Macaca fascicularis: one gene and its partner. Each later gene encodes a partner of the first gene's protein in a complex. Links are inferred from orthologs where the notes say so. Each region holds a gene or a part of one and is shown in the gene's direction. Other genes may lie near its edges.

The links. Proteins that work in one complex are often made in the same cells at the same time.
Region 2: NSMCE4A (region 1) and NSMCE1 share a complex: the UniProt entries of both Homo sapiens proteins name them as parts of the SMC5-SMC6 complex. The link is inferred for Macaca fascicularis from reciprocal best matches to the Homo sapiens genes NSMCE4A and NSMCE1.

What each region holds. Positions count from the first base shown.
Region 1 is NC_088383.1:130,965,279-130,968,928, reverse strand, and holds part of NSMCE4A (non-structural maintenance of chromosomes element 4 homolog A), read left to right. Parts: intron 1-1,502; coding exon 1,503-1,633; intron 1,634-3,650. UniProt on the Homo sapiens protein: Component of the SMC5-SMC6 complex, a complex involved in DNA double-strand breaks by homologous recombination. The complex may promote sister chromatid homologous recombination by recruiting the SMC1-SMC3 cohesin complex to double-strand breaks.
Region 2 is NC_088394.1:26,306,491-26,310,065, reverse strand, and holds the end of NSMCE1 (non-structural maintenance of chromosomes element 1 homolog), read left to right. Parts: intron 1-1,181; coding exon 1,182-1,298; intron 1,299-2,176; coding exon 2,177-2,297; intron 2,298-2,782; coding exon 2,783-2,862; 3' UTR 2,863-3,024; downstream 3,025-3,575. UniProt on the Homo sapiens protein: RING-type zinc finger-containing E3 ubiquitin ligase that assembles with melanoma antigen protein (MAGE) to catalyze the direct transfer of ubiquitin from E2 ubiquitin-conjugating enzyme to a specific substrate.

The sequences.
Region 1 (3,650 bases):
GTTTTTTAAATGTCTCCTTTTTCACTTTATATATGCTCTCCAATTTCTGTTTCTTCTTTGACCAAAGCCTCCTTACCATTTCCCATCTTAGTCTACTGCATTTGCTAAACTTCATCAAAACCTTCAGGAACCGGGTCTTTCTCCTTCACCTGTTTAAATCCCTCCACTACCCTCTTAAGCTTGGTCTTCCCTTCATAGCCTGGACTCTCAGTCTCCTCGCTGTTAGTCTTGCTTGACTCAATCACTCCCTTGATATTTACTATGCATCTAGTCAGTTCTTTATCCCCACATCATTTCCTCCTCAGCTATTTCCAGTATTTAAAGCAACATTTTAGGGCAAAATTATTCAGTCAATGGAGCCTTAGTTTGCTCACCAAACAATAGACGCTTGGCATTCATGGATTTGATGGTCTCAGTTTGTAACATAAATAAATAAATGAAAGGAGAAGGGAATGGGGCAGGCAGGCACAGGATACTCAGGAGATGAAGGGTCAACAAAAGGCAACAGTGGGGCTGAGGGGTTGCTTAATCAGACCCTGCAGGCAACAGGGAGTATGAAAAGTAGTCTGGGAACACCTAAATCTGTCGCCCAGGCTGGAGTGCAGTGGCATGATTTTGGTTCACTGCAACCTCCGCCCCCCACGTTTAAGCGATTCTCCAGCTTCAGCAGCCGAGTAGCTGGGATTACAGGTGTGCACCACCATGCCCAGCTAATTTTTGATTCTTTAGAGACGGAGTTTCACCGCATTGCCCAGGCTGGTCTCAAACTTTGGAGCTCAAAGTGATCGCCTGCCTCGGCTTCCTAAAGTGCAGGGATTACAGGTGTGAGCCGCTGCGCCCGGCCTGTTTCTCCATTAATTTAAATCTTTTTTTCCATAGCTTTTGTTAAATCCCATGTACTCTGTCAAGCCTTTCTTGAGCATCCATCCTCAGGGGTCCCTACTTGCTGCCTGTAGACTGTTCATTTGGGTGGCTTTGCTGGGGTTGCCTGTGAAGCCATACAGAGGCATGAGCCTCCTGATGCCAGCCTAGCACATGCCATGATTTTGGTTAGCAACGTTAGCAACTTACCTATTGCTGTTCACAAACCACCATGCCAAGCACAGGGCCCTGCATGTAGTGGGAATTTGATTGTCCTTACATCGGCACACATGATCATCGTGATTAGGATGGGTTATTGAGTCAGAGGGAAAAGTGAGTATTAGACATGACAGGGGTTTTGCTCAACTGGGGTTATTTAAGAGATTGTGATTCAGCTAACAGGAGTAGGAGAACTAGAGAGAAAGCTGGCTTTTAGGAAGACTGGTCAGCTTTCATTAGAGATTGTGGTGAGTTGGGCAGGGGAGCAAGTTTTAGAAGGAGATGGGTCGGTTGCCTATTGAGATTTTCTTTTTTTTGTTTGTCTAGTGGGAAATCCTGGTAAGTAGTTGGAAATGTAGGGAAAATATCTATGGATAACGTGTATTTTGTAATGTGAATATTTTCTTTTCTTTTTTGCATAGTGTCCCGAGCAAGAGAAGCAGTCCTAGATGCCCACTTTCTTGTTTTGGCTTCCGATTTGGGCAAAGAGAAAGCAAAGCAGCTGCGCTCAGACCTGAGTTCCTTTGACATGTTAAGATATGTTGAAACTCTAGTAAGTTCAAAGCTACAGACTGAATAAGAAATGTTCTGTTATATGTTATATAATTATTTACTTTGCTTATATCCATATGCAGATGATTTCACTTCATTCTTTTTTGGTCTCAGATTCCTCTAGAGAGATCTTACCAAATTAAACAGATGAAAGGAGAGCTATGTGGTGGAATTTTGGATGGGGGCTTGGAGTGAAAATCTCATAGCGTTCTGTCTTAAGATGCTGGGTGCTGGGGTCATTTGCCAATAGCCGTTTTTCCTCTGTTCACTGGTGTTCTAGATCCTTCTCAGTGACCGGGGACCTTTTTCTTGGGCTGGACAGAAGCACACTCTGTGACGGCAGAGCTCAGCTGGAATTGAGTTAGGCCTGGCGAGAGGGCATGTTTTGGTCTATCTTTGAGAATATTTCAAAACCATATGAATATGATTGGGTTTTGCTTTTTTTTTTTTTTTTTTTTTCCTTTGAGACAGAGTCTCACTCTGTCGCCCAGGCTAGAGTGCAGTGGCGCGATCTCGGCTCACTGTTAAGCACTGCCTCCTGGGTTCACGCCATTCTCCTGCCTCAGCCTTCCGAGTAGCTGGGACTACAGGCGCCCGCCACCACGCCCAGCTAATTTTTTTGTATTTTTAGCAGAGACGGGGTTTCACCATGTTAGCCAGGATGGTCTGGATCTCCTGACCTTGTGATCTGCCCGGCTCGGCCTCCCAAAGTGCTGGGATTACAGGCATGAGCCATCCAGCCCAGCCAGGTTTAGGTTTTTTTGGTTTTATGTTTTATTCACCTTTCTTTGTCTCTTGACAAGTTTGAATAGTGGTTACCTGCAATTCTGAAACTGTTCCTTGATGAATTTACCAAAAAAAGAAAAAGCACACAGAGACTGACCTTGTAGCTCACTTTGTTGTCTTTTTAAAAAATTCTATTCTGGCCAGGCGCAGTGGCTCACGCCTGTAATCCCAGCACTTTGGGAGGCTGAGGCGGGTGGATCACCTGAGGTCAGGAGTTTGAGACCAGCCTGGCAAACATGGTGAAACCCCGTCTCTACTAAAAATACAAAAATTAGCTGGGTGTGGTGGCGGGCACCTGTAATCCCAGCTACTTGGGAGGCTAAGGCAGGAGAGGCAGAAGTTGCAGTGAGCTGAGATCACACCACTGCACTCTAGCCTGGGCTACAGAGTGAGACTCCGTCTCAAAATCAATTAATCAGTCAGTGTATCAATCTGAGCCAACCTCTGTCCTAGCACAGATAGCTGCACCTCAGTATGAACATTGTATTTCTAACTGGATGTTTATGTTAAATGGTTATTAAAATAATTTAGTACTATGAGATCTGACCAGATAAAGTACTTTTTTTGTAAAGGCATGAGGCACGAGATTATTTTCAGTTTGTTTTTCAAACCTTTTCCTTTTTTTTTTTTTTTTTAACTTTTTTTTATTGTGAAGCATAATACACTTAGGAAAATGCACTCTAATATACATCAATAAAGTAACCATATATTGGGTATTTCTTTAAAAATTACTTTATCAGGTTAAGCTCTGTACTTTACTTTTTTTGTTTTTTTATTTTTTGAGACGGAGTCTTGCTCTTGTTGCCCAGGCTGGAGTGCAATGGTGTGATCTCGGCTCACCACAACCTCCACCTCCTGGGTTCAAGTGATTCTCCTGCCTCAGCCTCCCAAGTAGCTGGGATTACAGGCATCTGCCACCATGCCTGGATAATTTTTGTATTTTTTGTAGAGATGAGGTTTTACCATGTTGGCCAGGCTGGCCTCGAACTCCTGACTTCGTGATCCACCTGCCTTGGCCACCCAAAGTGTTGGGATTACAGGCGTGAGCCACTGTGCCCGGCCAAGCTCCATATTTTAAATTCTAAATAAATAAATTTAGAATTTATTTATTCTAAAATAAATTCTAGAAGTCTTAAAGCATTAAATATAAAACCTTAAATTAATATTTGTCAAGTCTCTGGGCGGAGAAGACTTTCTTATGTATAACATCAAATATAGACACTGTAAGGGAA
Region 2 (3,575 bases), on another chromosome or scaffold:
GGAAGACCAAGGTGGGTGGATCACCTGAGGTCGGGAGTTCAAGACCAGCCTGGTCAACATGGCAAAACCCCATCTCTACTAAAAATACAAAATTAGCCGGTGGTGGCACACACCTGTAATCCCAGCTACTCTGGAGGCTGAGGCAGAAGAATTGCTTGAACCCAGAACACGGAAGTTGCATTGAGCCAAGATCATGCCATTGCACTCCACCCTGGGCAACAAGAGCAAAACTCCATCTCAAAAAAAAAAAAACCAAAAAACCAAAAAACAAAAACGGGAGTGACAGCTCTTGCTTGTAAAAATTAGAAAATAACAGGAAAGGCAGCTGAGCACTCGAGTGACTCGCAGGCTTCAGTGACGCCATCTCCTGGCGCGGTTCACGTCCGATGCATGAGCTGACTGTGGAGAAACTGGAATCAGCCTGCATGGGTCCGTGTCCTGGGTCCGTGTCATTTGCCTCCCTTGGGTCTCCCTCAGTGCTGCCTCTCTCCTGTGACCTGGCAGGCGGGTCCGCCTGGGGAGCTGTGTTCTTCATGTGCTTCCTGGTTCTCCCAGGGTGTTCAGGATGCATGATGGGTGACCGCACCCTGGCGTGGGAACCAGGAGGCCTGGCTTCCGTTGGAGGCTCCACTGCCCCTGGTGTGATGGGGCCCGTCTGCCCTCTCCAGACTCCTTCCAGCTCCGTCTGTAAAGTGATGTGGCCGGAAATGATCTCTGAGGGTCCCTACTGCAGTTGGAGGCAGAAATGCTGGGAGGCACCGGGGATGCTGCTTTTTGGGAGTGGGATGGGTGGCGGATGGAAGCAGTGGGTGCTCGGGTTTGTGCCCTGGGGAGACTGACCCCTTGTGGGCCTCAGCGTCCTCATCTGCAGGAGGGCTGTGACTTCCTCGCTCGGGGCTGCTGTGCAGACAGAGCAGTCACGTCTGAAGGCACAACAGGTGCTGAGAAAAGGGCGGTGTCGGGGAGCTGTGCCTCCATGCCTTTTGGGCCTTTGCCTCAGTTTCCCTTGCTGAGGCTCTGCCAGGGGGACGTGGCTGATGCCCGTTGTCTGGGGTTGGTGCAAAGGTGCCTAGACCCTTGTGTCTTCCTGAGCACAGGGCTGTGGGATCACAGAGGGAACAGAGGTAGTGAATGGGGAGAGGGCCTGGCTGAGGGTGGCCACCTCCCGTGTGTCCCTGCAGAAGGAAGGGGAGTTCACCCTGCATGGCCGGGCCATCCTGGAAATGGAGCAATACATCCGGGAGACGTACCCCGACGCGGTGAAGATCTGTAATATCTGTCACAGCCTCCTCATCCAGGTACCCGCTGGGCAGGGCATGGGAGCTCATTGCCGGGCCCTCAGCTCCTGGGGCTCTGCACAGGTACTTCCCGAATCCTGGCTCTGGACCCAGCCCTCCTGCACTGCCGGCGCCTCCTCCCACAAGAGCTCCTGGAGGCCATCTCCCAGGACGTGTCAGAGGATGCCTCCCCACGGTGGCCTGCAGGGACGCACTGCCTCTCTCCTCCCTGGTTCTGCTGCTGGGGTCCAAGGGCTCTCGCTTACTTTATTCTTCTCAGGAAGGTTGAGTGTTCTGTGCAACCTGCATTATTTTGGCAGTTTTGTGGCAGAGTATTTGGCGGAGTGTCTCTATCAATTGCTGCTTTCCGCAGTGGTCTACTCCAGTTTGCAGGGCTTTGCAACCACTGAACCAGCGTGGACACTGATGTGTCTTTCAGTTTCTGTCGTTTTGCAGCTGTAGCTGTTTGTAATTGCAATTGCTCTCATGGGCCTCGTACACCTGTATCCTTGGGCACATGGTGATTATTTCCTTGGGCGGGGTTTCTGGGACAAAGTGCAATTTTTTTTTGAAAGCTTTTGATCCACATCAGCAAATAAGCTTCTGAAAAGCTGTGGCTGTCCACATGCCACCTGCAGGATCTGAGTGCGGGAGCTTGCCAGCCCTCGGCTTCTGTCACTGCGTTCATGTGTTCAGAATTGTTTGGTAAAACCCACTGCAACAAACAAGCAAACAAAAGACTCCCCTGCACTAAGGCGTTTGGGATTTTCAGTATTAATCTGGGGACTGGAAGATAACCCGATGCCACCAGCTGCCCATTTTCCTTGTGGCTTCCCCGGAGGTTTGCAGAACACAGAGGTGTGCACCAGCTCTGCCGTCATTGGCCTTTCTTGTTTCAGGGTCAAAGCTGCGAAACCTGTGGGATCAGGATGCACTTACCCTGCGTGGCCAAGTACTTCCAGTCAAACGCCGAACCGCGCTGCCCCCACTGCAACGACTACTGGCCCCACGAGATCCCAGGTGCGTGGGCCCTGAGGTGCTCATGGGAAGGGCTGGGCCAGCAGGATGCAGGGCCTGGTGCTGGGGAAGCCCTTGGAGGCAGGGCCCTGAAAGGCTCCAGGGTGCGTGGGGGTCCGCATTAGCAGCCTGAATCCTAGAAGCAGCCACCGCAGGAAGTAAAGGCTGAGCTGCGTGCACCGTTCCAGAGGACTTTCTAGAACCCAGCAGAAATTCCAACGCTTATGAGCATTTTGTCTAGACAAGGCTCCCTCTCTGGCAGCCCTCTCAGGAGGGGGATGTGACAGCCATGTCCGCAGCTCCCTCAGTGTGTTCCTCTCTGAATTGGGGCTAACTCTGCCTCACGGGCTGGGGAGGGTTGGCAGTGAAGAATGGTGTAGACCTAGGACAGAGTCCTTGGCACAGGAGACGTAGCTGCTGGCTCGAGCTGGTGCTCCTGTGCTGCCAGCCCCTCCGTTCACTGTCTTTCCTGCCTTTTCTGCCTACAGAAGTCTTCGACCCTGAGAAGCAGAGGGAGGCTGGTATCTCAAAATCGAACAAAAAGTCCCTGCGGTCCAGGCAGCATTAGCCGTCGTGCTCTGCTGAGGGACTGGCTGCCTTGGGTGGCCTGATCGCCGCAGCCCTTCTTGGAAGAGAGGCGTCCGTGTTTCAGGTTCCATGCGAGTCACCTCTTTCTTGTTAATGTGGACTGTCCACAGCTTTGGAATAAACTGTCCTGGAAGTTGCTGCAGCCCCTGTCTGTGTTCTCGAGCCTGTGTGTGAGGCTCTGTGTCGTGGCCTTGCCTTCTTTCCTGGAGTTCGGTCATCACTCAGAACCCCTGGGTTTGGGCTCCAGCAGGTGAAACCAGCAGAGCCCCCAGCAACGGCTCAGGACAGCTCACTGTCCTTGCTCAGGGCAGCCTTGCCTCCAGTCCCAGCTGTGACCAGCTGTCCCAGCAGGATTGGGCTGGCCCACACCTGGATGTGTGAACCTTGGCCTCCCCAACTCCCCAGTCTGGACTCTCCCCTGGCCCAAGGTGCCACTGGCCTGAATGGGCTGAGGCTGGGCGTTTGGGCGGGACACGTGCTCTCCCTCCCTGGACCCTCTGTTCCCTGTGGGTGCCCGGCAGCCCCGCCATCCAGCAGCCCCAGCCGGGACCGGGAGTCAGCCTCAATGCTTCCTCTCCCTGACCCTCCTGCATCCCACTGTCACCAGATCCTGTCCAGCCCAGCTGCCAGTAGCCCTCCGGCCCTGCCGCTGCTGCCTCAGGCTGAGCGCCAGCCCCGGCCCACACCCTGCCT